Elephas maximus indicus: one gene and its partners. Each later gene encodes a partner of the first gene's protein in a complex. Links are inferred from orthologs where the notes say so. Each region holds a gene or a part of one and is shown in the gene's direction. Other genes may lie near its edges.

Evidence for each region.
Region 2: SNRNP200 (region 1) and BUD13 share a complex: the UniProt entries of both Homo sapiens proteins name them as parts of the minor spliceosome. The link is inferred for Elephas maximus indicus from reciprocal best matches to the Homo sapiens genes SNRNP200 and BUD13.
Region 3: SNRNP200 (region 1) and RBM48 share a complex: the UniProt entries of both Homo sapiens proteins name them as parts of the minor spliceosome. The link is inferred for Elephas maximus indicus from reciprocal best matches to the Homo sapiens genes SNRNP200 and RBM48.
Region 4: SNRNP200 (region 1) and LSM5 share a complex: the UniProt entries of both Homo sapiens proteins name them as parts of the U4/U6-U5 tri-snRNP complex. The link is inferred for Elephas maximus indicus from reciprocal best matches to the Homo sapiens genes SNRNP200 and LSM5.

The regions. Positions count from the first base shown.
Region 1 is NC_064835.1:88,744,316-88,751,289, forward strand, and holds the start of SNRNP200 (U5 small nuclear ribonucleoprotein 200 kDa helicase), read left to right. Parts: upstream 1-3,965; 5' UTR 3,966-4,089; coding exon 4,090-4,134; intron 4,135-4,622; coding exon 4,623-4,786; intron 4,787-6,472; coding exon 6,473-6,644; intron 6,645-6,974. UniProt on the Homo sapiens protein: Catalyzes the ATP-dependent unwinding of U4/U6 RNA duplices, an essential step in the assembly of a catalytically active spliceosome. Plays a role in pre-mRNA splicing as a core component of precatalytic, catalytic and postcatalytic spliceosomal complexes.
Region 2 is NC_064835.1:9,018,954-9,026,033, reverse strand, and holds the start of BUD13 (BUD13 homolog), read left to right. Parts: upstream 1-4,063; 5' UTR 4,064-4,135; coding exon 4,136-4,278; intron 4,279-6,058; coding exon 6,059-6,152; intron 6,153-7,080. UniProt on the Homo sapiens protein: Involved in pre-mRNA splicing as component of the activated spliceosome. As a component of the minor spliceosome, involved in the splicing of U12-type introns in pre-mRNAs.
Region 3 is NC_064826.1:62,573,384-62,581,333, forward strand, and holds the start of RBM48 (RNA-binding protein 48), read left to right. Parts: upstream 1-4,942; 5' UTR 4,943-4,987; coding exon 4,988-5,098; intron 5,099-5,641; coding exon 5,642-5,832; intron 5,833-7,477; coding exon 7,478-7,623; intron 7,624-7,950. Other genes in the region: peroxisomal ATPase PEX1, read right to left, coding at 4,497-4,625. UniProt on the Homo sapiens protein: As a component of the minor spliceosome, involved in the splicing of U12-type introns in pre-mRNAs.
Region 4 is NC_064826.1:94,010,435-94,017,622, reverse strand, and holds the start of LSM5 (U6 snRNA-associated Sm-like protein LSm5), read left to right. Parts: upstream 1-4,188; 5' UTR 4,189-4,245; coding exon 4,246-4,291; intron 4,292-5,527; coding exon 5,528-5,623; intron 5,624-5,941; coding exon 5,942-5,969; intron 5,970-6,893; coding exon 6,894-6,966; intron 6,967-7,188. UniProt on the Homo sapiens protein: Plays a role in pre-mRNA splicing as component of the U4/U6-U5 tri-snRNP complex that is involved in spliceosome assembly, and as component of the precatalytic spliceosome (spliceosome B complex).

The DNA.
Region 1 (6,974 bases):
ATGTATGCTAAAGCAGTACTTTGCAAATGCTTGTCATATGATCTAAAAAAAGAACACCCTAAACCCATTGCCGTTGAGTGGATTCCAACTCATAGCAACCCTATAGGCCAGAGTAGAACTGCCCTATAGGGTTTCTGAGGCTGAAACCTTCGTGGAAGCTGACTGCCACATTTTTCTCCCGTGGGGCAGCTGGTGGGTTCGGACCACTAGGTAACAGCTGAGTGCTTAACCCCTGCACCACCAGGGCTCTTTGTCACGTGATAGGCACTCAATAAATTTTTGCTTAATCTGAACATTGGTCTCCTTAATCAAGTATCTGCTATGCAGGTGTGAAAAACAAGCAAGCAAACAAGAAACAGAAACCTGCCATGGTTTTCTGTTACCTCCTGGCTGAAGTAAGCATTCTTTACTACGAGACTATTTCTTCAATAAAGAGATTCCCAGCTACACGTGTAGCCACCCTGTTCCTATTGCTTACATTTGCCGCAGGCAGGTGAACTGACTCTGACAGCTCCCAGGACATGCCTGACTTCCCTGCTCCATGCTTTTAGCTCTTTTTGTGCCCCGCCCTCGGAAGCCCCCCACCCCTCACTGAATCCTAGCCAGCCTTTACACCACGGGCAAATGCTGTCTTCTCTGCGAAGTTTCTCCAAGTCTCCTCAGAGTGACTCTACCTTCCCTGTCTCCCACAGTGCCCCTTGTGGCACTGACCATATTCAGACTTTTCATTGCAGTCATCCGCTCTGGTGGCTCTCTTCTGACGTCCATTTTTTTTTTTTTTTAAAGAATATTTCAACTTTTATTTCTAGGATACATTCATCTGGAAACTTTTTGTTTCTTTACAGTTTTCCTCCTAAGAGAAATGAATACATTAAAAATATAATCCAACTACCAGCAATGTTTGTAACCAGAAAAGAATCTAAAATCTCTGGTGTGATGATATAGGATTTAAAAAAGAAAAAAAACTTCATACCAGAAATAAAGCCTGAATATTCTCTTTTCTTTAAAAATATAGTTTTTTTCTTTACTTTTCCATGTAAATTTTATAATCAAACATTTAGTTCTAAAGTCTATTTTTAAGTCAGCAATTACAACACTAGAGCATTGCTTTCTTTCCACTTTGTATCCTGTTCTGTGCTATGAATCAACTAATAATTGAAGAAGTCTTAAAAATGAGATGCCACCAGGCGATAGCAAGATTCACGATATACTGACCATAAAATAAACTCCCCAGTAGCGAACTGAAATCTATTTACAGGTTGTATTCTATTACGTTTATGAAATGAGCACGTATAGGAAGCACTTTTGCGAACTGTAAAGCTATTTTTTTAAATTTATTTTGCCTGGAAAGATTGGGATGAGGTGTCAGGGACACACGGGTGTGAAACCTAGTCCTTTTTTTCCAAAACTACTTAGATTTGTGGGGGGAGAATAATAACTGCAAAGAAGTTGGGGGTATGGATGCAGGGATTTCTCTTAAAGATTGATTGGTTTGCAGCAATGTACTATTTTTCTTAACTGAGAATAAAAAAGTGGGGAGGGCAAAGTAACAGCTCTCTATAGACCAATACTTTACACCAGACTGAGAGGTCAGGCCGTCTGTTTCCAAATGGGAATAAGAAACAAGAGAGCTTGGATGGTTTCTTCCCCACTTCCGAATAGGTCCTCTATGCAGAATTTCATTACTTGAAGTATAGTCTATCCTAAAACAGTATTCAAAAACTCAACACAAATAGTTTGAGGATGGTTTCCCTTCTTTAGGAAGATAATCAAAGAGCCAAACTTAAACATGTACATAACATACCTGAACCACAGAGTAACACCTTCCTCCTACTCCTACAACTTTTTTAGGGTATTTGTAATACATGGAAAGGTAAGTAAAGAATGGAGACCTGGTGGTGCAGTGGTTAAGAGCTCGGGTGGCAGTTCGAATCCACCAGCCGCTCCTTGGAAACCCTATGGGGTGGTTCTACTCTGTCCTATATGGTCGCTATGAATCAGAATTGACTTGAGGGCAACAGGTTTTTTTTTTTAAGTTTTTTTTAAAGAATAAAGAAGCTCAGTAACAATATCAGTGAGGGTTTTCCTCTCCTTTGCAAAAACAAAAACAACCCATTGCCATCAAGTCAATTCTGACTCATAGCCACCTTATAGGACACAGTAAAACTGCCTCATGTCTCTCCAGTCTTTTTAATGACCTTTGCTTTTTTCATGTATGGTGCTCTTGATGTCATCCCACAACTCATCTGGTCTTTGGTCATTAGAACTCAATGTGTCAAAGCTGCTCTTGAGATGGTCTCTAAATTCAGGTGGGATATACTCAAAGTTGTACTTTGGCTTTCCTGGGCTTGTTTTAATTTTCTTCAGCTCCAACTTGAACCTGCATAAGAGCAATTGATGGTTTGTTCCACAGCTGGCCCCTGGCTTTGTTCTTACTGATGATGTTGAGCTTCTCCGTTGTTTCTTTCCATAAATGTAGTCGAGAGGTCCACGTGTATAAACCAAAACAAACAAAAACCAAAAAACCAAACCTGGTGCTGATGAGTTGATTCCAACTCACAGAGACCTGTAGGACAGAGTAGAACTGCCCCATGGGGTTTCCAAGGCTGTAAATCTTGACAGAAGCACTTTGCGGGAGAAAGATGTGGCAGTCTGCTTACACACAGGTAACAGCCTTGGAAACCCTACGGGGCAGTTCTACTCTGTTCTGTAGGGTCGCTATGAATCAGAATCAACGCGATGGCAACAGGCTGGTTTTATACCTAGAAGTGGGGTTGCTGGATCATACGACAGCTCTATTCTTACTTTTTTGAGAAAGCGCCATACTGTTCTACATTTCTCAGTCTCAGCAGCAACAGATAAGGGTTTCAGTGTCCCCACATCCTTGACGACATTTGTTACCTGTTTTTTTTTTTTAATCAATGCCACTTTTGGGGGAGGAGAGGGATAAGAGGGTTTCTCATTGCAGTTTTCATTTGCATCTCTAACAGCTAAGGACAGCCCTCGTGGCCCAGTGGTTAAGAGCTCGGCTGCTAACCAAAAGGGTCGGCAGTTCAAATCCACCAGCCGCTCCTTGGAAGCCCTATGGGGCAGTTCTACTCTGCCCTATAGGGTCGCAATGAGTTGTAACTGACTCGTCAGCACCTGACAACAATGACTAATGCTTGTGAACATCTTTTCATATGTTTGTTGGCCGCGTGGATGTCCTATCTGGTGAAGATTCTGTTCACGTTCTTTGCCCATTTTGTGACTGGGTTGCCTTTTTGCTGTTGAGCTGTTGCAGTTTTCTATAGATTTTAGAGATTAGACCCTTTTTGGAAGTCATTTCCAAAGATTTTTTTTCCCAGTCTTTAGGTTGTCTATTTACTGTTTCAATAAAGTCTTTTGATGAGGGTAAGTTTTTTTTTTTTCTTAACCTTACGAGGGCCCATTTATCTATTTTCTTCCTGCATTTGTTGTATGTGTTATCCTATTCTTATACAGGTCCCACAGTTTTCTCCCTGTATTGTCTTGCAGGAATTTTAGGGTGTTAAGATTAACATTTAGGTCTTTGATCCATTCTGAGTTAAATACAGCTGCGGAACCCAAAGGAAAGTAGCCATTACACAGACTAACTCCCGCTCGCTGGGTGCTTCGGGTTCCTCAGGCGGAGAAGGGGGTGATCAGTCTCCTAGAGTGCCTACCTCACAGGGCGAGAGTCAGAGGAAGAAGCGGGTGGAGAAGGGTCTAGGTCAGCACAGCGGGCTGGACAGGTGTACGTTCCGTTACGACCTGAGGGCCGCAGGTAGGGGGTGGGGAAGTAGAGTCACTGAGTCCGCCGCGCCAGAAGGCCGACGGAAGGGACGCAGGAACCAGAGTGCAGGGGTCGCGGGATCCGGGGAACCGGAGACTCAGAGGCGCCAGCCCCGCCCACCTCTCGGAGACGTGCCCTCCCCACACTCTCTGCGCGCGACCCGGAAGCGGAAGTGAGCTCCCGTCTTCCTCTCCGGGCGTCCCTCTTGCGTCTTCCGGCCTGTGGCAACGGGAGCGGCGGTTCGCGGCGTGTGGTGCGGCGGCGCGGAGCCCTGAGGGCCCGGCTGAGCTGCAGTCATGGCGGATGTGACCGCCCGCAGCCTGCAGTACGAGTACAAAGCGGTGCGTGAGGGCTAGGGGAAGACTCCGGGCGAGGGAGCCGGGTGGGGAGCGAGAGGCCGAGGAAGGCCGGCGCGCGAGCCGCGAAGGTGGAGGGAGGTTGAATCGGGCGCAAGTGGGGCTGCACGGCCTGTGGGCGCCCGCTGGGCCTGGCGGGCGGGACGGCCGGGGCCTCCTCGGAGGGCTTCCCCGGGCCCCTGAGCGCCGGCCGGGCCCTGCGGACACTCGCCGCCCAGGCCGGCCGTCGCGCGCTGTGTGGGCGGCGGGGGGTCAGGTCGCTCGACGGGCCGAGCCCAGAGCCGAACTCGGCCCTTGATCCGCCGCAGTCTCGCGCGGTGCCGTCGCTTCTGAAGGAAACTGTTTATTTACTCCGTCTGGGGACTGTTAGCACTTGGTGGCCTCGGCCCGTCCTGAGGTATTACCAGCTCTTGTCCCCGTAATTAGCAGCTGGCCCTGTTCACGTCAGAGCTCCGACAATGTGATCTTTCCAGAACTCGAATCTCGTCCTCCAAGCTGACCGCTCGCTCATTGACCGCACCCGCCGCGATGAACCCACAGGAGAGGTGCTGTCTCTGGTTGGGAAGCTGGAGGGCACCCGGATGGGGGATAAAGCTCAGCGGACCAAGCCGCAGATGCAGGAGGAGAGAAGAGCCAAGTGAGTACCAAGGGAAAGCTTTTTTCTTCACATTTAGAGCCCGTGTTTTCTTTAGCATTTGAGTTTCAAGTATATTTTGCAGAAATGCTTGGTGCAAGGTGACACCTCGGTGGTTATTAAATTATCTTAGTGAAGGTAAACACAGAACGCAAGAGCTAAAGGGTCTTTGGCCTAGGTGAGTACATTTGCAGTGGAAAATAACTCTTTGTTACTTTTTTTTAGTAATCTCTTTCTGGTCCACATACAGATCTTTTCTTATGGGGTATTTTCAAGTTTCCTTGTCTCAGTAACTTTTCTTCTTCCATTATTAACTTTTCACCTCAATTTCTTTCTTCTGCTTTTGCCTACTCCCAGCTATTTTGTTGTTACAACTAACATTTAGTGGTCATATTACTAAAGGTGCTTTGTTTCCTTTTAGTTTTCTTTACTTTTTGAGGTATTTCAAAACCTAGACAATGATTGAACTTTATCTCACCGTTTTTTTCCGAACATCTCTGTGTTTCCTCCATTCTCTGTGATAAAGTCTCAAAAATTCCTAGGCCCACTTTTGATTAAAGTAGTTATATTTGAAATGAGTGAATAGATTATTAGTTTTCCATTTTGCAGCATATGACCTCTTTTCCAATTTTATTGTACCTTGTTGGGAGTTTGTAAGAATGGCATGGTGGCAGTGTCACCCTTCTTTTTGTCTCACTTTATGATTAGGGAGAGCTTCACCATCAGCATCAGCCAGCTGATCGCTATGAGATGGAGGTCAGACAGCCCTTGATCCTCCAGTCTTTTTACCAGTTCTGACACCGGCCAGCCCTCTCAGGAGCTGTCTGCTGCTCTGCTGAGTTCGATAACTCATTGCAGTGGCTACCGTGTTGTCTGGTGCTGGTCTCCTGGTTCTGCTGCTGCCGTTTCCCTGCTGCAGCACTGTCTCCGACATTGGAGCTCTCTTTCTCTGTCTCCTGGGTCTAGGAGGTTCTCAGCGCAGGGACGCCATGTCCAAAGGATGCACTCTGCTCCCATCTCTTCTTCTTGGTGGTAGTGAAGCCCCGCTCTGTTCTGGGATGAGCTCATTTTAAGCATGGTGGGATGGCAAAACTGATAGTCCCCTCATTAGGGGGCCACGTACCATATGTGCGTGGTTCCACCCCCACGGGTGCCACACACCTTATTTGCATTTTTAGCAAGCTGTCCAGTCCCCTTGGTGGACCACAAGCACTTTCTTTCTGTAGTCACATTCAGTCATTTGGTGGAAGTTATGAGACCATGCTTAGAAAGGCCACATAAAATCAGTCCTCACACCGCAGGAGTCAAGAGCAGTGGATTCCTTTGGAGCTTCCGTTTCTCTGGCTAGGAAAAGGAAATGTCTATGAGAGGTGAAAAACTAGCCAGGATCAGGTTACATAAGATCTTCATACGAAGTGATTCTTTTAAATGAATGAGGAGGCTATCTCATTGTATCGATTAGCGCAGCTGGTGCACCATAGGGCTCCTTTTCTGTCGATGAGTCCCATCAAGAAATGTCTCGTGCTAGGGACTTAAGGTCAAGTGGGAATCATCTGCTGAGGTACAGGTTTCTCTTTTCAGATATAGGTGTGTATCACAAAACTGAAAAAGAGGGGTGTGGGTTTGATTTAGCCTTCGCTTGGCGAGGGAAGCTTCTCTCTGTTGAACATCATATTGTGTGTCCATTAGGCGAAGAAAGCGTGACGAGGACCGGCATGACATCAACAAGATGAAGGGCTATACCCTGTTGTCGGAGGGCATTGACGAGATGGTGGGCATCATCTATAAGCCCAAAACTAAGGAGACCCGGGAGACCTATGAGGTGCTGCTCAGCTTCATCCAGGCTGCGCTCGGGGACCAGGTGAGGCAGCCAGAGCGTGAGGACCGGCATTTGGAAGGGAGAAGGTCACAGCTGGGATCACTGAAGAGCCTTGTCTCTGGATCTGCCTGTATGGGCCACACCAGTTGGCAGAAGGACTAATAACGGCGGCCCACGTTAAGTGACCGTTTTTTTCATGTGGGATGGCGCTTTCCGTGCCTGTTCTCTTTTAGGTCTCACATTCGCTCTGTGAGATAAGGTGCAGTTAATACTCATTTTCCATTTTACGGAAGAGTGACGTGAGGCACAGAATAGTAATTTCCCCAAGTCACAGAGGTTGTATTTGGCAGAGCCAGGATGAACCCAGGTAGT
Region 2 (7,080 bases), about 80 Mb from region 1:
CCTTATCTGGAATCTCTGCCTCCTCCCTCTTCCTGAAATGTATTTGTTTCTAAAGGTTCTGTTTTCAGAAACCTGCCTGTATTGGATTCTTTGGCATTTATTACTTCCATGTAGGACTGACCCCCATGCCTGAATACAAGGTTTTTTTTTTTTTTTTTTTTTTTATGAATTTGGAGACTAAGGTTAGCGAATGACTCGCTCTTGCAACTATAAACTATAATACCTTGATGAGATTTCTCACGTGCAAGTATTCTACTTTAAGAGACTGCCTGTAGATGTGTTTTCAGCTGACCAGGGAACCTGACTTTACCAGACACCGTTTGGGTCTATCATCTGGTGAATGCCCTGTGGCGCGGGTGGATGTGCTCTGTGAAGACGAGCCCCAGTGTCAGCTTCATCTTCCACTGTGAAGGGAAAACAAATGGCATTCTGGTTTGTCAGTCTTCTGAGTTTGGTTGGCATGAGGCAGTCCCCCAGTTACTGGGAAATGATATCCTGCAAGACATGACCAGGTTCCAGACTGGGATAACCCAGCTAAGGTACTCCTTGCTCTTTGATAGGACAAAGGCCTGGCATCTTTCATTTTCACACTTTTAAAGTGTCCCTGAACTCTTTCAGTCACGTTTCATACAGCCTGCCCGAGATGGAAGCCTACATCTGCTTAACTTTGTCTTGCCCCACATTCCCTAGCATATGGCATACAGATGATCTGTCATAATCCTTGGCTGATGTTTGTGAATCCTTCATCCTGGATCCAGCCCTTTGGGCACATGGAGGTAACAAGGGCTCTGCTCTAAGGCCAGGGGAGGTGAGAGAGTCAAGCTGCCGGCCTAAGAACGTGGAGATTTAATTTCACAACCATGAGAGTAAAACTTACATGGGAAGTTTTGTGATTATATTAAAAAAAAGAAGAGTTTATTTTGAGGGCATTCTATCTACTTTACCATATTTCATACATGTTAAATACAGCTATATTTTATATTTGGTCATCAGACCTGTGAACATACAGGTAGGTCCTGAATGTGTACCTGTGTCGTCGTAATGGAGTAAGTGGTGGAGATGTGGTGAGTGCTGGGAATTAGTATGAAGGGCAATGACCTCGCTAACTGAAAGCTTCACTGGTGGGGTGAGGAAGACTTCTGTTGTTACGACACTGTCAGTATGTTTCTGTCTTCATACACCCGTGGTATGTCAGCTGCCTATTGCACATTGCAGGGAATACCATGTCTGCTTATATTTAGGGCAGTGGTGTTTAAGACTGCTTGACTTCATTCTTTGTTGTTATAGTAAAATACACAACAAAATATACCATTTTAACCATTTTTAAGTGTACAATTCAGTGGCATTAAGAACATTCACTGTTTCCAGAACCTTTTCATCACCCCAAATGGAAATGTTATACTCATTAAACGGTAACTCCTGATTCCTCCCTCCCCCAGTACCTGGCAACCACAGTTCCTGACTCTATGAATTTATTGGCTGCTTCTTATTTTTTAAAAAATCTGCACACTTCTCCCCACCCTTTACAGAAAAATGGCAGCATTTTTAACCATAAAAGAACGAGGCAGTGCTACTTAGTCTGCATATTTACTTTAGAGTTTAGAAAGTCCACTAGTATGGGCACCTCTGCTGCTTTGGTTTCCTGGTCTGTAAAATGGGGATAAAAATAATGGTACCTTTTTTTGTAGGGGCTTTTGGGAATTAGCTGAGTTAATAATTGTGAAGTGCCTTTTATTTGTATTTTCTCTCATCAATCCTTAAAAAATTCTGAAGTGTCTCCATTTTTGCTTTAAGTCCTTTTTGGGAAATAGCTATAAATAAACAAAATTATCCCCACTTTACAGGTGAGGAAACAGCTTCAGAGAGCTTAGATAACTTCCAAAATGAAGTATAGTTAAGAGGCAGGCTTCAAATCCAGGCCAATCTGACTGTGCAACTTGAGCTCTCAATATTTTGAGCTCATGTCCATAAAAATAATAATAATAATAATAATTATTATTGCCTTATTCAATGCAACTGTAGAGAGAGGGCAAAGCTCAGACCATGCCACCAGACATGCATTTTCTTGGTCCTGCCTAATTGCCCTGTGAAGCAGACAGGGTTGGGATCCATTGAGGTTGGGTCTTGTCAAGCCAAGGTTGAGGATTGGGTAGAATGGGTAGGGACAGAACTGAAGAAGCCAGAAATGGTCAGGAGATGGGTTGGCAGGGCCCAGAAGGGCATACTGGTAATATCGACTAGATTGGAAATGTGAGCCTTTCCAAATGCCTGTTGTCATCAAGGTGGAGGCAGTTTGAGACTAACAAATTGGACTTTAAGCCAAGGCAGCATTGCATATGGGGGACCTGTAGAAACCTCTAGCTAGTGATGCCCTAGTTTCTCAATGTCTCCTCATAACCCCTCAGGGACCCAGCCTGCTTTCTTTTCTGGGCTGGTGTGGCAGCCACTCAGATTATAGCCCAGTGCTTAGAAGTTCATTCTTCAGAGCAGTGGTCTTCAAGAAATACGAGAATGCTCTTTAGATGCAAGGATGGCACAACTTTGGCTTGCTTGCTTTGGACATATCATCAGGAAAGATCAATCACTACAAAAGGACATCATGTTTGGTAAATAAGGGAAACCTTAATGAGATGGATTGACGATAGTTGAAACAATGGACTCAAGTCAATGTTCACGAAGATGGCGCAGGACTGGGCAATGTTTTGTCTGTTATACCTAAGGTCACCACGAGTCAGAGTTGACTCGGCAACTAACAACAACATAAACGAGTTTTTGAGCATGTATCGCAGTGTATGTGTATTTAGTTATAAAGTATGACAATGCCTACTTGACTAAAACCGACAAAATTTACCTTATAAAAAGAAAATATCCAGTCTAATATTTTATTTCAAAAAGTTTGGATCACGTTTTTTACTGCACTTCCCTAACCTCTGCTCCCAAGAGTCCTGTGGCTTGAGCTTGAATCCTGTCTTTGCCACCTTTTTGCTGTGTGATAACGGGCAACTTCCCTTATCTTCTCCAAGCTTCCATCTCCTCATCTGTAAAATAAGGATGATAAACCGAGAATAGTTGTGAGGGTTTAAATGAGATAATTCAAGTACTCTTGTCTTCTCCCCCCAAGACTTGAGTATTAGAATTTGATCTCACAGGCTTTACTCTTTGGCTGTGCTGAAAGCAGGTCCAGGTCTTTTTTCAATGGAAAGATTTACACAATTTCCTTCAAGAGGTAGATAGGTGCAACCAATGAAACTGGATGTGCAGAAGTTACACAGATTTTAGAAACCTCCGTATTTTTCACAGGAATTATACTGGGTCTAGGAGTTCCTGGGTGGCACAAACAGTTCAATGCTAGGCTGCTTGTGGAAAGATTGGCAGTTTGGACCCACCCAGAGGCATCTCGGAAGACAGCCCTGGCAATCTGGCTGCTTTCAGCTTTGAAAACCCTATGGAGCAGTTCTACTCTGCTACACGTGGGGTCACCATGAGTTGGAAGCGGCCTGACTAACAACATACTGGGTCTGAAGTTCTTGATCTCCCCTCTTGAATGTACCTGGAAGCTTGTTAAACTTCTCCCCACCTAAAGATACTTACACTGCTAATAAAAATAACTATCGGTAACTGCGCCAGACACTGTTCTAAGCACGTTACACAGTAACGTCATCTCAGATCTCGCAATCATCCTGATTAAGTACTATTATTGTCCCCATTTTGTTAAATAACTTGCCCAGGTTTTACAACTAGGAAGTTACGGAGCCAGGATTCAAACTTAAATACCCTGTAACTCCACAGCCTATGCTAACCACTACGTATATGGTGCTTTGAAGCTGCTGGAGGCAGATATCTCGTTGGGTCGTGATTGTAGCCTCAAGGCTAGAACGGCGCTTACTGCAAAGTTTGGTGAATGAACGGATGGACACACAATAAGGTAACGTCCTCACAAGTACGCACAACGGGCCCTAGACGTGCCTGCACTTCCGGTTGGTCCACGAACGCGTCACCCGGGAGGTCTCCCCGCCGGTGCTCCGACGCTCCGCCAGTTCCGGGTCTGGCCACGCCCCTCCCGTCACTGCCGTCCGTTCCGCGTTCCCTAAGTTTGACCCCAGGGGCGAGCCGTCTCCCCGCCCGCGCCGCTGCCATGGCGGCAGCTCCGCCGCTCTCCAAGGCCGAGTATCTGAAGCGGTACTTGTCTGGGGCAGATGCCGGCGTCGACGGGGGCCCCGAGTCCGGTCGCAAGCGTCGCAAAAAGCGGGCGAAGCCCGGAGGGGCCGGCGGCAAGGGGTGAGTGGGTACCGCGGGGGCGGGCCTGTGGCGGCCCTCAGCCTTGGTCTCTGCGCCGCCGGCCGGGGCTCTGCCTGCTCTCCTCGCCGGCCTGGGTCCTCCGCTCCGCCCGCTCGTCCGCCCGCTGCCTAAGCTCAGGGCGCGCGACTCGGGGCGCCGGGGCCTGGGCCCGCTGTGGCTGCCCGCCTTTACCCTTCGCGCTGCTGAGCAGCGTCTTCGGTTGTTTAAACTGGGCTGTGACTTCCATGACTCTTTTCCCGCTTTGGTAGCCTTCCGACCCCTCCGGAGTTAATGAATATCGTGCTCTGAGAATGGGGGTGGAGCTAATTCAGTGCCTTGGTGCTCGGATTTAGGGTCCTGAACTTGCCCGTGGGGTTCTCAAAAGTCCCAAAGGCTTCGTGATCCTGAGTCGGAGAGCCCTGGTCACTACTGCTGCTAATGCCCCCAACAGCGACTGGCACGTACACACTTCTTGCCGTATGTCAGGCACCGTTCTAGGTACTTTACACATACATGAACTTAAGCTTCACAACACTACCACGGAGTCGTTATTGTTATTATCACAGTTTTACAAACAAGGAAACTTTTGTAGCCCAGCGGTGTCAAAGGGTTCCAAGGAACTAATCTATTGCCTTTCCTGGTTTGATTCTGTTTTTTTTTGCTTTCTGTGTTTTTGGGTCCCTTTCTCTCGGGTGGATTCTTTGGAGGCAGTGCGATGTAGTGAAATAGCTTAGCTTTGGGGCAACATTGTTCAGAGTTTGAATTTTACCTCTGCCACTTTATAGGCTGTGTGGCCTTGGGCAAGATATTTAATCTCTCTGAATCTCAGTTTTCCCATCTTGAAAATGAGAATAATAGTAAATAATACTGCTTGTATTAAATGGTTTTTGTGATTTAAAAAAATCAGCTGCCACGGAGTTGATTCCTATTCATTGCAAGCCCATGTGTCATAGTAGGACTGTGCTCTCTAAGGTTTTCAGTGGCTGATTTTTCAGAAGCAGATCACCAGGCCTTTCTTCCAAGGCACATCTGGGTAGACTCTGGCCACTCAGACTTCCAGCCTTTTGTTAACAGCTGAGCACATTAACTGTTAGTACCTCCCAGGTACTATGTTGTTGTGATTAGAGATGATTTATAAAATATCCCTGACTTTTCAAATAATAGCTATTCATGTGATGGCAGTTAATGTTATTTCCTGTCATCTATAGTTCATCCCTGTAACACACACTTATTGAATACGTCACATGCCAGTTACTGCAGGGTGTCGACAAGGCCTCTATGAACAAGAAAGACGTAGTGCCTGTTCTGATGGAGCTTACAGTTTATTGGAGATACAGGCCTTAAACAACTGTTTACACAATAAATTGATTCCTTTGTGGTAAATGCAGTGAAAGTATTCTGAGTGTGTGTAACGGGGGTTCTTAGACTTAGGGGAGAGGACCAATCAAGGAGGGTATGCCTAAGGGAGTTAAATTTATGTTGGGACCTGAAGAATGAGTAAGAGGTTTCTGGTAAAGAATGAGGAGAAGAGCAGGTCAGGCAGAGGGAACTGGTATGTGAAAGTTGATGTGGTAAGAAATTTGCCTCGTTTCAGGTGCTCGTGAGGTAGTGAACTGAGAGGGCAGCAGTATAAGATGACGTTGACCACCTAGGCAAAGGCCGGATCACGCAGGAATGTGTAGGATTTTGAACTTTATTCCTAAAACCAGATGGATAAGTGCTCTTAGGCTGTTATCCAAGAATGATTTTTCTTCTTTTATCTTTTGTTTTTCACATTTAGAATGCGGATTGTGGATGATGATGTGAGTTGGACAGCTATCTCCACCACTAAACCAGAGAAGGAGGAAGAGGAAGATGATGGAGATTTGCCTGTGGTATATATCTTTTGGGGCTGTCGGAACTTGGAAATGATGTAAACCTCCCAGTCTGTACTCCCAGTGCAGGACAGATTTGTATGAGGGAAATTTGAGGGCAGAGAAGAGATGCCATTTTCCAAAGAGCTGTTTAAAATAGTCTTCTTTGACATATGCCTCTACACTGACTTCTCTGTTTATCCAGGGACCCATTAGCCTAGAAATGGGAACCAGTCACAGAGCAAGGCAGGACTTCCTCAGCATCAGTGATAGAACAATAACTAGAATTAGCAACAGTTCAGTTTGTGGGAATCCAGCTTCTGAACAATGTTCGAGTTCAGTTATAGAGAACTTTTTATTTGCACCCATGAGTCAGAAACGACTTGACAGCAACTAACAATAGCAGCAACATTCATTGATTTAACTAAGCTTTAAAATTGTATAAACTTGCCTAAGTACTGGAGATATGTAGATTAATGGAATATAGTATCTGTACTTTAGAGAGCATACCCTAGAAGGGGAGACTGATTTTTTTTTTATTGTGGTGAAAATACGTACAAAAAACATTGGCCAGTTCAACAGTTTATACAGGCATAATTCAGTGACGTTGACTCTTTTTGTTATACAACCCTCATCACTATCTTTTTCCGAATTATTTTACCACCATAAAGATAAGCTTAGTGCCCTTAAGCAAAAATTCCCCCTTTTCCTCTCCCTTCCACCTTTGGTAACCACTAATTTTGGTTTCTATATATATGCTTATTTCATGTTAGTGAGATCATACAGTATTTGTCCTTTTGTTGCTGACTTATTTTGCTCAGCCTAATGTTTTCAAGGTTTATCCATTATTGTGATGTGTATTAGGACTTTATTTCTTTTTATGGCTGAGTAATATTCCATTGTATGTGTGTACCACATCTTGTTTATCCATTCCTCTGTTGGTGGACAG
Region 3 (7,950 bases), on another chromosome or scaffold:
TTACTAAGTCTAACATGCTTCACTCATTCTTCATTTAATCTGACATTTTAGCCAGAACCACAGGTTGAATTTGAAGTCTAGTAGGAGCCAAGAATTTAAACTGCTATCTCAGATTATGTCATTCCCTCTTGTCTTGGTCATCTAGTGCTGCTATAACAGAAATACTACAAGTGGACGGCTTTAACAAACAGAAGTTTATTCTCTCACAGTCCAGTAGGCTAGAAGTCCGAATGCAGGGCGCCAGCTCCAGGGGAAGGCTTTCTCTGTTGGCTCTGGAGAAAGGTCTTTGTCATCAATCTTCCCTTGGTCTGGGAGCATCTCAGTGCAGGAACTTCAGGTCCAAAGGATGTGCTCTGCTCCCGGTGCTTCTTTTTTGGTGGTATGAGGTCCCCATGTCTCTCTGCTTGATTATCTCTTTTATATCTCAAAACAGATTGGCTTAAGACACTACCTAACCTTGTAGATCTCATCAACGTAACTGCCACTCATCCACCTCATTATATCATAGTGATGGAATTTACAACACATAGGGAAATCACATCAGATGACAAATTGATAGACAATAATACAATACTGGTAATCATAACCTAGCCAATTTGACAGATATTTTGGGGGGACACAATTCAATCCATGACACCTCTCATGGACTCCGGACTTCCTGGAGCCATGAAGGTTGGAAGAACCCCTGAAACTATTGCCCTGAGACAATCTTTAAACCTTAAACCAAAAATATTCCCTGAAGTCTTCTTAAAACCAAATGATAGTTTAGCTTAACTACTAAAACATGTCTGCCTTGAACATTATGCTGTTTTAAGAACTACCTATATGGGATCAAATTGACAAAAGCAACTAGCAAGATGAGAGAGGAACCTTAGGGGGCAGTGAATTTATGTTAATGGGGGAAGAACAACTTAGTAAAGGAGGGTGAGAATGGTTGCACAATGGGAAGAATGTAATCAAAGTCACTGAATTGTACGTGTAGAAACTGCTGAATCACTGTATATTTTACTGTGTATAGTCTCAACAACAACGAATTAAAAAAAAAAAGGACAGGAAAGAAAGAAAAGACAAAAACATGTCAGAAGAGACTCTGAAACTTGCTCTTGAACACAGAGTAGCTGAAGTGAATGGAAAAACTGATGAAGTAAAAGAGCCGAACAGAATTCTTTCTAAGGGCAACCAGAGAAGACAAAGTATTATAATGAAATGTGCAAAGATCTGGAGTTAGAAAGCCAAAAGGGAAGAATACACTCAGCATTTCTTAAGCTAAAAGAACTGAAGAAAAAATTCAAGGCTCAAGTTGTAATACTGAAGGACTCTATGGCAAAATACTAAATGATGCAGGAAGCATCAAAAGAAGATGTAAAGAATACACAGAGTCACTGTACCAAAAGGAACTGGCTGACATTCAACCATTTTGGGAGGTAGCATATGATCAAGGACTGGTAGTACTGAAAGAAGTCTAAGCTGCACTGAAGGCGCTGGCAAAAAACGAGGCTCCAGGAATTGACAGAATACCAACTGAGATGTTTCCACGAACATATGCAGCACTGCAAGTGCTCACTTGTCTATGCCAAGAAATCTGGAATACAGATACCTGTCCAACCAACCGGAAGAGATCCATATTTATGTTTATTCCAATGAAAGGTGAACCAACAGAATGTGGAAATTATCAAACAATATCATTATCACACGCAAGTAAAATTTTGCTCAAGATCATTCAAAAGTGGTTGCAGCAGTACATCAACAAGGAACTGCCAGAAATTCCAGCCAGATTCAGAAGAGGACATGGAACAAGTGACATCTTTGTTGATGTCAGACGGATTTGAGTTGAAAGCAGAGAATACCAGAAAGATGTTTACCTGTGTTTTACTAGCTATGCAAAGACGTTCAACTGTGTGGATTATAACAAATTATGGGTAACTCTGTGAAGAATGGGAATTCCAAAACACTCCATTGCACTTATGCAGATACTTGTACATAGACAAAGAGGGAGTCATTTGAACAGAACAAGGGGATACTGAGTGGTTTAAAATCAGGAAAGGTGTACATCAGGGTTGTATCCTTTCACCATACTACTGAGCAAATAAGCCAAGAAGCTGGACTGTATAAAGAAGAACACAGCATCAGGATTGGAGGAAGACTCATTAACAGCCTACAATATGCAGATAACACAACCTTGCTTGCTAAAAGCCAAGAGGACTTGAAGCACTTACTGACTGTCCTAGTTATCTAGTATTGCTCTAACAGAAATACCACAAGTGGATGGTTTTAACAAACAGTTTATCCTCTCACAGTCTAGTAGACTAGAAATCCAAATTCAGGGTGCCAGCTCCAGGGGAAGGCCTTTTCTCTCTGCTGGGTCTGGAGGAAGGTCCTTGTCATTAAGGTTCACTTGGTCGAGGAACTTCTCCACCCAGGAACCCTGGGTCCAAAGGATGCACTCTGCTCCCGGTGTTGCTTTCTTGGTGGTATGACCTCCCCATGTCTCTCTGCTCACTTCTCTCTTTTATATCCCAAAAAAGATTGACTTAAGACACAACCTAACCTCATAGAATGAGTCCTGCCTCGTTAACATAACTGCTGATAATCCACCTCATCAACATCATTGAGGAAGGATTTATGATACATAGGAAAATCATATCAGATGACAAAATGCTAGACAATCACACGATACTGGGAATCATGGACTAGCAAAGTTAACAGATATTTTGGGGGGACACAATTCAATCCATGACACTGATGAAGATCAAAGACTACAGCCTCCACTATGAATTACACCTCAGCATAAAGAAAACAAAAATCCCCACAGCTGGACCAATAAATAACATTCTGATAAATGGAGAAAAAATTGAAGTTGTCAAGGATTTCATTTTACTTGGATCCACAATCAATGCCCATGGAAGCAGCAGTCAAGAAATCAAATGACATACTGCATTGGGCAAATCTGCTGCAAAAGACCTCTGTAAAGTGTTAAAAAGCAAAGCTGCCACCTTGAAGACTAAGGTGTGCCTGACCCAAGCCATGGCGTGTTCACTGGCCTCATTTGCATGCAAAAGCTGGACAATGAATAACAAAGATTGAAGAAGAACTGACACATTTGAATTGTGGTGCTGGCGAAGAATACAATATACTATGGACTGCCAGAAGAATGAACATGTCTGTCTTGGAAGTACAGCCAGAATGTCCTTGGCAGCAAAGATGGCAAGACTTCATCTCCCATACTTTGGACATATTATCAGGAGAGGCCAGTGTCTGTAGAAGGATATCATGCTTGGTAAGTTAAGAGGGTCAGCAAAAAAGAGGAAGACCTTGGATGAGATGCACTGACACAGTCGCTGCAACAATGGGCTCAAACATAGCAAGGATTGTAAGGATGGTGCAGGGCCCAGTAGTGTTTAGTTTTGTTGTACATAGGGTTGCTATGAGTTGGATCCCGCTAGATGGTACCTAACAACAACAACAAAGTGAAAAGGTGAGATACTTGACATTATTGCAAATTCTTAAAATATTTCTTGCATGAATTATCCAGTGTGGATACCATGCATTCAGGGTTCTTCAGGATTTAAAATAAAATTTTATCCTTTTGCCCCCATAAGCGCACTCATACTTTGTGAGACCACATGCCTGTATGTTTAATTATGAAAACACAGATGCTGTATTTCTGCCCGTGGTTGGACTAGCGAAACACTACAACATCCAAGTAATCTTTCCAAGTATACCTAATTCCACTGCACGTTCTGGCACATGGCGGCGCAGGGAATACCCATCATTTTATTAACCTTTCTGCTTTCCGCTCCTGGGAGGTGTTCAGCCCGTTAACACACAATAAAAACCAAAACCATTTCCATCGAGTCCATTCCGACTCATACTGACCCTACAGATGAGAGCAGAACTTCCCCATAGGGTTTCCAAGGAGCAGTTGGTGGATCAGAACTGCTGACCTTTTGGTTAGCAGCCGTAGCTCTTAAACACTGTGCCACCAGAGCTCCATTAACGTACAGGGACTCCACAAAGTCTGTCTCCTCCCTCTCGAGGCCCAGACAGCAGCAGTGCAGGTACCTGGAAATCTCTGGCAGGGAAAACATTTTTAAAACGATAAAATAAGCGACTTTTCAAAAGCTTTCCCAACGCGGAGTGAGAAGTATTTCTGAACGCAGAGGTAGACTTTTTAAAAACAGGTAGAGGATTTTTAAAAGCCCAGTTTCACCGAGTGAGAAGACTTGGGATAAGCAAGGTAACTTAATGGCCCGGGGCTGCACGAGGCATGGGGGTGGGTAGCATGGACTGCTCAGACCGCCCTGCCCTCGAGGGGCCTTCAATCTGACCTCTGCACTGGCCAGCGGCGCCGGGAAGCCAGTGGTGCCCCTGTAGGCTCCCCCGCAGCGGAGAGCCCTGAACAGCTGCCGTATCCCTACAAGGCCTCGGCCACCTCCGACTCCAGGCGACTGTCGCGGCGTCCCTGGTCCGGGCCCCGCCCGGGTCCGGAGCGTTACCTGCAGCAGGTGCAGCTGGGCCACTAGACGCCGAGGCAGGTGGAGGAAGCAGTCGCGAGCGTTGGTGAAGGCCACTGTCACGGCTACCCCGCCTCCCCCCGCACACGCCAGTCGATCACTGCCCCACATCGCCGGCGAGCACCGCTTCCGGGCCGCCCTCCCTAGAGCCGGGGCCGACCTGGGACGGGACAGGCGAGGGCCTCGGTCCCGGAGAAAATCGATTGGCCCTTCCCCCTCTCCGGCAGCGCACCCCACCGCACGCCTGAGGGGGTAGAGACAGGCTAGCCTTCACTCACCCTCCTTGGCTCTCCGCCGCGCCACTAGGGGGCGGCATCTTGTTCACCGTATCTTCTCTCGCAGGAAACGATGGCCGACACTGTCGATGCTCCAGCCAATCCGGTCACGTCTTGACGCATCCCGCTTTCTTATTGGATGAAAGGGAGGTCAGCAAGGCAGATGTTGTCTTCTCTGCGAGTGCCGAAGCTAACAACATGGCGTCGAGTAGTGGGGAGCTTGGGAGCTTATTCGAACATCATATCCAGAAGGCTGTATGCGACACGCGGGCTAAGTATCGGGAGGGACGACGGCCCCGCGCCGTCAAGGTAAAGTAATTTTGTTTTTTTCGCTTTCTTGGTAGCTTTACGTATGTGTGCTCGCTCCGCCTTCCTAAAAGTGTAAATAAAGGCTTGACAAGGCTGTTTGTTGTCACGTCCGTCCCTCATTGGAGTTGAGTGTGAGTAACCGCGAAGCAGGCACCAAAGCTCTCTTTTAGTCAACCACTAAGACGTTAGCTCTGCATAAGCAGGATTTTGTTTTATTCCTTGTATTTTCCGTGCTTCAACAGTGCACGGCACGTGGAAAGCACTTAAATATTCGTCGAGCGAATCTTCCCAGAAACATGAACCGCTTCTACCGATCTAACGTCTGGAAAAATTGTCGACTGAAGGTAGACTGATGTGTGCTTTAGTCCGAGGCCCTCAAACGTAGGGTGAATTATTTATGCAGAACGTGGCAAAGTTTCTGATTCTGTATGTTTTCTGCGAACTGTGCTGAACAGTATGTTTTCAAAGCTGTTTAAAAAAAAATAGGACGTTTGTTCTAGGCTTATTTGTGAAGTATGTTTAATGAATCTGCATTTCTTTTAGGTATATACAATCAATTTAGAATCTCGGTATTTATTAATACAAGGAGTTCCAGCAGTGGGAGCCATGAAGGAATTAGTTGAGCGATTTGCCTTATATGGTACAATTGAACAGTATAATGCTCTAGATGAATACCCAGCAGAAGACTTCACAGAAGTTTATCTTATTAAATTTCTGAATTTACAAAGTGCAAGGTAATATGCAAGTTAAGCCATGTCTTATTTCCTCCATTCCCATTGCTATCACTCTGGCCTCAGATTTCCCTCATTCTTACCTGAACTAATCCTGTATTTCTCATATCATCCTTCCGTCTTCTTAAAGGTTATTGTTGTGGTGGTGTTTGTTAATTGCCACTAAGTCAACTCTGACTCATGGAGACCCCATGTGTGAAGACTAGAACTGTTCCACAGGGTGTTCAAGGCTGTGACCTTTCAGAAGCAGATGGCCAGGCCTGTGCTCTGAAGCATCTCTGGGTGGGTTTGAACCACCAACCTTTTGGCTGGTAGTTGAGTGTTTAACTGTTTGTACCACCCAAGGACAGTTTCTTAAAGGTTAGCCTTACCAAAACACTGCTCCCATCATGTCATTTCCATGCTTAACCATTTTTTACAGTGTAGTATAGTAGGCGAGAAATTGGGTTTGGAGTAGATTTTCCAGTCCCACTGCTTTTATGACTTTGGACCAGTTATTTAACCTCTCTAAGCCTGTTTTCCTCTTCTGTAAAATCCATTTGTAAATCTCTTGAGGTTGGGTCAGGATGAAATCAGACAATTCATATAAAGCGCTTAGCATAGCACCTCCTATTCAGAATGCAGTAACATTAACTATCGACGTTCTTATTGTTATGGCCGTGTGTGGATTGACCCCATCTTATCCAGCTTGCTGTGTAATTCTCTGCTCCAATAAGGCTGAAGTATGAAATGCCTCATCTGTTTTTCATGTTGACCCTTACTCTTGTCACTAATCTGCTCCAAGAATCATTCTTCCCTGGCTAAAACAGTTGATATTTTTTCGGTACTACCAATAGCACTCATACTATGTCACAAAAGCACTTGATTCTATAGGATTATGATTCTTTTAAGGCAGCTCTTTTATGTAATCTCATTTCCCAGCCATCTTGCCAGCACCCCATGGTGTTTTTTAGAGCTTTTGCATCTTCTACAGCACTTAGTGCAGTGAACTTTAGATTAGACATCTGGATTTGCATATTAGCTCCACTGAACCAGCTGTGTGACCTTGCCAAGCTATATAATCTCCCTGTGCCTCTAATTCACCATTGGGTTGTTTTGAGGTGTAAATTCACTTGAAGCACTGGGGACACTGTCTGGCATGTGGTAAACAGTAAGTGTTTCTTATCGTTATCCCTGGACACAGTAGTACTATATTTACAGTACCTATTATTACAATATTTTAAACTACTTTTTAATGTATGAATCTGATTATAGGAACACAATGTGCTAAAGAGGCTAGTTTGGGTATGAACTGATTCTCAAGGGCTATTTAGCTTAACACAGAGAAAAGCCCTATTTCATGGCTACAGATTGTGTACCTCAGGCCAGCCAACTAGATTCTAAATTGGCTAAAGGAAGTCTGGGTATATGTGGATAGCTTAAAATCTGTTAACACTATTGGAAGAGGTGGCAAAAGTCACCAAAAGTATGTACCACAGTCCTGGATCAGTAGGGTTAGTACCACCCACAAGCAGCACATCTTAATTTCCAAACCAGAGGAGGTGTGGGCACATAACAAAAGGTGGACTTTGCTCTTTAGGTCAACCTATTGTATAATAGTTAAGCTTAAATCTTGATTAATAAACCATGCTATCATGTATTTGTTTAGGACAGCAAAGAGAAAAATGGATGAACAGAGTTTCTTTGGTGGATTGCTTCACGTCTGCTACGCTCCAGAATTTGAGACAGTTGAAGAAACTAGAAAAAAGTTACAAGAGAGAAAGGCTTATATAATAAGAACTACTAAAAATAAAGGTATGGAAAGTCTGTTTAACTAAACGCTTCCTATATGTCAGGTACTCTACTAGGTATACCACCATGGAGTTCCCATGGAAGGAGAGGCAAGTAAACAATCACAATATTAAGTAATTGTAAGCCACAGGCTTCTGTGAAGCACTTTACGTAAACCGGGCTGGGAAAGGAGACATGTTGGTTCATGGAAGATTTCCTACAGGATGTGAGAGGTGCCTGCGTTTTGAATAAGTAGTAGACGTTAGCTGGAAGGAGAGAGGAAGAGATGGGAAGGTAGGCTAGACTGCATGTTTAAAAGTAAGACATACCGAATAAATGAATAGGAAAATA
Region 4 (7,188 bases), on another chromosome or scaffold:
TCCAAACCAAACCAAACCCAGTGCCGTGGAGTCGATTCTGACTCGTAGTGACCCTATAGGACAGAGTAGAACTGCCCCATAGAGTTTCCAAGGAGCGCCTGGTGGATTCAAACTGCTGACCCTCTGGTTAGCAGCCGTAGCACTTAACCACTATGCTACCAGCGTTTCCTCAGGGCTCCTAGCGTGTCATAAATATACTTGTTTCACTTGATTTTTCGGATCTTTTGTGTAAGAGGGATCACGGGAAGCATCTGGCTATTCCGCCATCTTGGCCCCGTCTCCCCCTCCCTGCACTCTTAATTGTTTGATAACCTGGAAGCATATTGGTACAGCTATGTATCTGTTTATTCAGCCTTTTGAATTACTTGTTTATTCAAGATTTCTCTTTTACTTGTTTTAGATTTTTTCCCTCTCATTTAAATATTATGTATGGGAATTTGGAAGCCTTTTAAGGCCTGAAGCAGAACATCCTTGACATAAAGGAATTTTACAGTGAGACCTGTCACCTGATTATTCTAGTCCGCTGAATTTTTTAAAGTATTGTTTTCATTCTGCCCTTTTCTGGGCTTAGCATTCTGGTCAACACGAAACATATGGGATTGGTTGTGACCAGGGTTTTATATTTCTTTAGTGATTGTACTACTTTTTTTTTAAAGCATCGTTTCCATCAGTTTAAAGTGAATAACGGAAGTACCAACAGATTCAGCAAGTTTTATCCAGGGCACCCTTGGAATAACCTGAAGAATAGGTGCCCACTTCAAATGGAATTTGAGATTACTACCATAACTGGCTGTGGAGTTTACCATTACTATTTACACATCCCTTATTATTTTTTTATTTTAGGCAACCTTAGTAGTTGATATTTTCTACTCCTGGCTTTGAAATTTAAGGATCTGAATTCTAAGCATAGCTGAAGAAAACAGCAGACTTCCTAAAATCAAGTTTGGTTTCTACAATTCAGTAGAAATGTCTTAATACTAATAAAAATATTATGGATTTTTTCAAGATGTTACTATCCATTTCTTTTCTATATTTCAAAATTCTCAGCATTGGCTCACAACTGTGAGTGAAGCTACTATTCCGTATATGCAGAATATGTTAACTGTTTTTTTGCATCTGCTTCAGTATTCTCTACAACTGGCATCACTAAAATTAAACACTAAGCGTTGTTTTAAAAAGATTAAAAACAAGGTATCTTAGAACTCTGTATTGACAGTGTAATGCCAGCTTGTTTAATTCACTGTCCAGGAGATCTAGTAACAGTTTTATAAAAATGTGAGTCACTTTGCATCCTAGATGTTTCAACTAAGATTAAATCATGTATTCATAATGATATGTTGCTTAAATGTTTAAAAAAATGTCATTTAGAAGAATGCTATAAACAAAGGAAATATATTACTGGGCAAAACGGGAGAGAAAATATGCAAGGGAATTTCCAGGATTTTATCCATTTCTGAATGTACAGACCAGTCCATTTACTAGTTTAGAATAACAATTCTTTAAATTAGCTTTTATGTGAGTTGTGTTAATACAGAATGAATCCATTTTCAAGGTATTGTTCACAAGGACAAGTATCTGCTGGGAAAATAAATTTTTCCTTTGTTTTCAAAAGTGTTGGAAGAAGATTAGTGAAATTGAAATACCAATTTGAGATAACTGAATACTTTCTAAACATTATTTTAAAAGGAAACTTTTGGTTGTATTTTTATAATGGCATTTATCTCCAAGAGAAAAATTAGGAATGCCTTTCTGAACACATAGTACATCAGATAGCCTCTTCTAGTTACATACATTTCATGATGAATTATAAATTCTATTTTGTCTACTCTGTAAACAACCTAAAGGAAGAAAAATCCTTGAGATTGAAAACGAAGTCTCCATCTGGAATTGACCCGTTGTTTCTTTTTGTGCCTTTCATCAGGAAAGAACACAATCAAATAAAATCACTCCCCTCCTGCAATCTTCATTAACACTATTATGTAAATGAACAATAGTTCCTTCTATAGAGTCTAAAGAGATTTTCTTTTTTCTTCATTAAATGCACTGAAAATTGCTAATGTTCATTCTGTTCTTGTAGAGGAAAACAAAGTGCAAACCAGGCTCCCTTTGAAAAGCATATTTTTCTGATTTTTAAAAATTCTATCAAGTAGCAGAAACATAATAATGCCTAGAATTTGGTTCAGGCTGCATGAGGAAGCAGTGTCCAACAGTGACACTAGTTATTCTTTTCTTCCACTAGGAAAACATGCATCTGCCAAGTTGAGAATCTAGGGATTGGGAGCCCTGGTGGTGTAGTGGTTGAGAGCTACTGCTGCTGACAAAATGGTGGGCAGTTCTAATCTACCAGCCGCTTCTTGGAAACCCTCTGGGGCAGTTCTACTCTGTCCTATATGGTCGCTATAAGTCGGAGTCAACTCGGGGGCAATGGGTTGTTGTTTTTTAGCAGTAATGAATGCTCAGGTGTGTTATAGAGTAAAAACATCACAAAATTTAGTAAAGCAAAAAGGAAGTTTTATCAGCATATATTCAAAAAGGCAAAAGTGGGAAGCAGACAGGCATGCTGCCAGAGCTAATGTCTGCCCACGTCCAAGGAAATATTACAGAATAGACAAAAGTGGGAAAATGGACAAGCATGCTGCCACAGCCATGTCTGTCCAAGTCCAAGGAAATATTACAGAATAGGCAAGAATGGGAAAACGGACAAGCATGGTGCCACAGCCATGTCTGCCCGAGTCCAAGGAACATTACAGAATCATCAGTATATATTAACATCACAAACGGGCAAAACCATTGAAAGCTTCACCTTTTCACAGATTGGCTAGAAACTGTGATCCTACATTTTGAATTGCCTTTCTTAACAATCATTGATACAGGTTTCAGTAATAACACTCAGGAGGGTCTCGATTGGTCCAACCAATTTTCTATTCACTAAAGGCTAATACAAAAAGATAAAGAGTGGAAAGTCTTTTGTGTTCTGTTTGAATGGTTTACGTGAAAGGTTCACTAAAAGGTATTTTCCGAAATTATCCTAGCTATTGTCTTTATGCCTCAGGGCCCAGTTGATGTGCCCTTGTAAGTCCTTCTGAGCCCAGCTCCAGCTGGGTCACATTCTCTATGCTCAAGGACAGGGAATAATGATTCCAATATTATTTCCTAAATCAGGTGCTAGGTGAGACTAGCAATGGCTGTGATGGTTAAGTTCATGTGTCAACCTGACTGGGCCATGATTCATGGTCCTTTGGCAGTTACATAATGATGCAGTCATTCTCCATTTTGTAATCTGATGTGGGCATCTTCCGTTTTCAATTAATGACGATTTTTGCATAACAACTTGGTCTTTGAACCTAATCATGTTGACAAGTGAGTAGGTGTAATGCATATCTGTCAATGAATGAATGATGGGTGCTTAACAACCATTTGCTGTATGAATGAATGATGTTCTTTGTGATCCCTCATATTTAGACTATTTTGCCTGAGGTTCCTAGGACATGAATATAAAATAGAATAAGGCAGGGAATTTGTTTGCTATTATTTTCAAAACAAGTACAAAGTGCTATGGTTTTCCCATATGACATTAACATATAATTTAGAGTGACAGCTCGTGGTTGCTCTTAGTGTTCATTGAAGAAAGAGTAAAAAAAAGCCACATAGTATAAATTAAATTCTTAGATGTAACATGGTAAACACGTTGAATTAAATCAATTAGTAAAGAAACAAATTAAATCCCCACCACAGAAAAGTGAAAAAAAAAAAGGTTGGTTGTGGGTTTTCAATCCACTGGACTTTTAAAAGAAATAGTAAGCCCCCTTAACAAAACAGATTTTACAAAAATTGCAACACAGTGAGTTGGTGGCGAGAAAAATGAATTGACTTACTGGTCTGAAGAAAGATGCCCGACTTGTGAAGAGAGAGAACTTTCTGAAGAAAAATACAACGAAATTAAAGACTTTAAAATTTTCCAAAATCTTCCGGGTTAGAAGGAGAATTTATTCACAAGCCAAGATATCTTTAACATGCCTCCGAAACTTCGAGGAAAGAGAGGGTACCTCTCTAAGAGAAAAGTTCAGCGGACATAGATACCTCACCCGAAAGAAGCGAGTGTGCGCGATCTACAGGGCCTGGGCCCGATCGCTCTCTCGGCCTCAGATTGGTCAGGCCTGCCCGCGCAGGGGAAGAAAGCGGAAGCGCGCTCTTTCAAACTTGCCCTCCCTACCGCGATAGACGCAGGCCACTTCCGGCGCAGCCATGGCGGCTAACGCCACCACCAACCCGTCGCAGCTGCTGCCGCTAGGTAACCTTTCACGGGGGGCCGGGCGGGGAGCTGAAGTTCAAGATTGGGGGCAGAGGCGCTGCGACTAAGGTGGCGAAGTGTGGGGAAAAGTGTATCCGGCTTTTTCCTTCTGCTCCAAGTCTGTGGCCCCTGACCGCTCCTGCCTCAGCGTGATAGGTTCGCTTGAGGCAGCAACTTTTGACTCCCCAAACCAAACCGTCTCCGGAGAAAGGTTTATGCTTAATGAACTGAACGTGTAACCTGCCGTTGTTGTGAGCTCGTCTCTATCGTGTCTTGGGTAGCGGCCTCCCCCCACCCCCCAAACCTAGCATTTAAGATCTTCAGAGTAGGCTTTGTCTTATTTTATGTCTGGCCGGTTATTGAGGGAAGGTCAGGAATGAAATTTAAAAGAGGAATCTGGAAACTGGTTCCAGTTGTCATTCATTCAGCAAACGGTTATTGGAGCGTCTACTGTGCGCCATCCACCACAGAGATCATAACGACACTATTCAGCAGTATTCAGCAATTCAAATCACAGTCTTTTTCTTAAAATAATGCAGAAAACAGTGGAGGGAATGGATACTGAGCATTGTGCCGAATAGTGCTGAACTGGCTCAGTAGATATTCAAGCTGCTGTCAGAGTTCAGAGAATAGCCCTCGGTTGGGTGAGGCAGGTAGTGATAGGAATCTCTGATGAAGATAATTATACTCCTCTCTCCCCTAATATTTCGAGACTGGGAAGAGTGACCAAGTTAATAGACGAGGCTGTGCTTGAAAAGTTTCTATTCCTTCATTTGACACTCTTTGAGTGCCCGGTTGATTGCAGGCACGGCCGTTGTGAGTTGGAATTGACTTGTCGGCAACCGGTTTCTCTCTCTCTCTTTTTTTTTTTGCGGGGGGGGGGGTTGTCCATTGGGGATACAGTGATGAGCAGAAACAAGCACGGTCTCTACCCTCGTGGAGCTTAGAGTCTAGTAGGCAGTTCATATATTATTAAATAACCTAAAACACAGAAGTGCAACCATGGTAAATTGCTACAAGGGAGAGTTAAGTAGAGATCAAGGGAAACTTTTCTGTTAATGATCGAACAGAGATTTGTAATATAAGAGCTAAAGTTGTTGAATGAATATTTTTCCTGGTTTGTCTTTCACTATATGCAAGTTATTGAGTGCCAGTAGGCACTCAAATATTTGTTGAAGTAATGAATTGCTGAAATAATCTTTTTCCTCTCTCTTTTTTTCCTCAATATATTCTTAGAGCTTGTGGACAAGTGTATAGGATCAAGAATTCACATTGTGATGAAGAGTGATAAGGAAATTGTTGGCACGCTTCTAGGCTTTGATGACTTTGTCAGTATCCTTTTAAAAGGTGGTGGATAGGTTTTTCTTAGGTATTTAATAACGTAAGTAAGAACTATAGATAATCAGTATTTACTAATTATTATATTAGAGATCAGTTCACTCTTGGGGAACTTGTGGTAACATTTTAAGAGATGTATGTACTGAATCGACTTGACAGCAGCAGGTATGTACTGACCGAAGATAAAGTTTCTACCAATAACGAGAGTTGAAAATTTAAGTCATTGTGTTAAATGTTATCACTAAAATTGAACAAAGACAAGACAGAGTAAATTCAGACAGGTATGTTTATTTTCCTAACACCAAATTTCAGATATGGTATTGGAAGACGTCACTGAGTTGTAAGTAGTGTTAAAAATGAAAAGTTTGGAGGAGTATTGCTCTTCTTAATTTAAGGCAATTTTAATACTATCGAGTCAGTAAAATGATTTACAAGTAAATATTGCCTGTTGGCATTATCTTAAAGATGGAAATTTTATCTACTGATGCTAGTAAAATTAGATCAGAGGGTTATTAATATAATTATTATCATGTTGCTAGGAAATTAGTAGAGACAAATCTTTAAGATGAATGATACTAAAAACTGCTCAGGTCAAATAAAAGACTGGTAATAAAAACGTTTAACTGTGTAACATAAAATGTAAATGATGGCTCAGTTGTGTTAATTATATAGATCATGACCAATATCTCTGCTTTCAAAATTGAACTGATTACAAATTGCTTTAATGGCTGGGAGAAGCCCTAGTGGCACAGTGGTTAAAGCGCTTCGCTGCTAAACAAAAGGTTGGTGGTTCTAACCTACTAGCTGTTCTGGGGGAGAAAGATTTGGCAGTCTGCTTCTGTAAAGATTTACAGCCTTGGAAGCCCTATGGGGCAGCTCTACTCTGCCCTATAGGGTCACTGTGAGTCGGAATTGACTGGACGGCAGCGGGTTTGGTTTTTAATGGATGGAGATGAGCAATAATGGATGTGTTAAAGAAAAAGAGTGAAGCTGGTAAATATTTCGTATTTGGCCTCCTTGGCAAGTTTCAGCTTTTTTAATGAAGATCGAACTTAGTGGATGTTAGGCCAGTCAGTTCACTCTTACCTTTAAGGAAGAGTGTACATTACCCAGTGGATAATCTTGATCTTTGAAAGTTTTTGATATAATTGCTTCACCTCACATTTACTTACATAGAAGAATAACCTTTTTAGGGATGGAAAGATTTCAAAATGTTGGCTTTTATTACCACTGTTTAACCTGACTATTTTATCTATTTATTTAGCGAAATCACACCGGAAGGAAGAAGGATTACTAAATTAGATCAGATTTTGCTAAATGGAAATAATATAACAATGGTAAGACACATTGAAGCTAATACTGTTTTATTTAACAGTAGCCCGTTTTTGTAGGACGGTGGTTACAGATCTAACTCCTGATGCTGTTTGTTTGACTAAATGCCCATGGACCAGTATGCTTAGGATGGGAAAGGGATGTTGTGGTAGTCAGGGCGCTAAAGCTGAGCTACTAAATATGGCATTGGGCCTAGAGATTAGCTTGTTTGGCCTTTTTCATTTTGT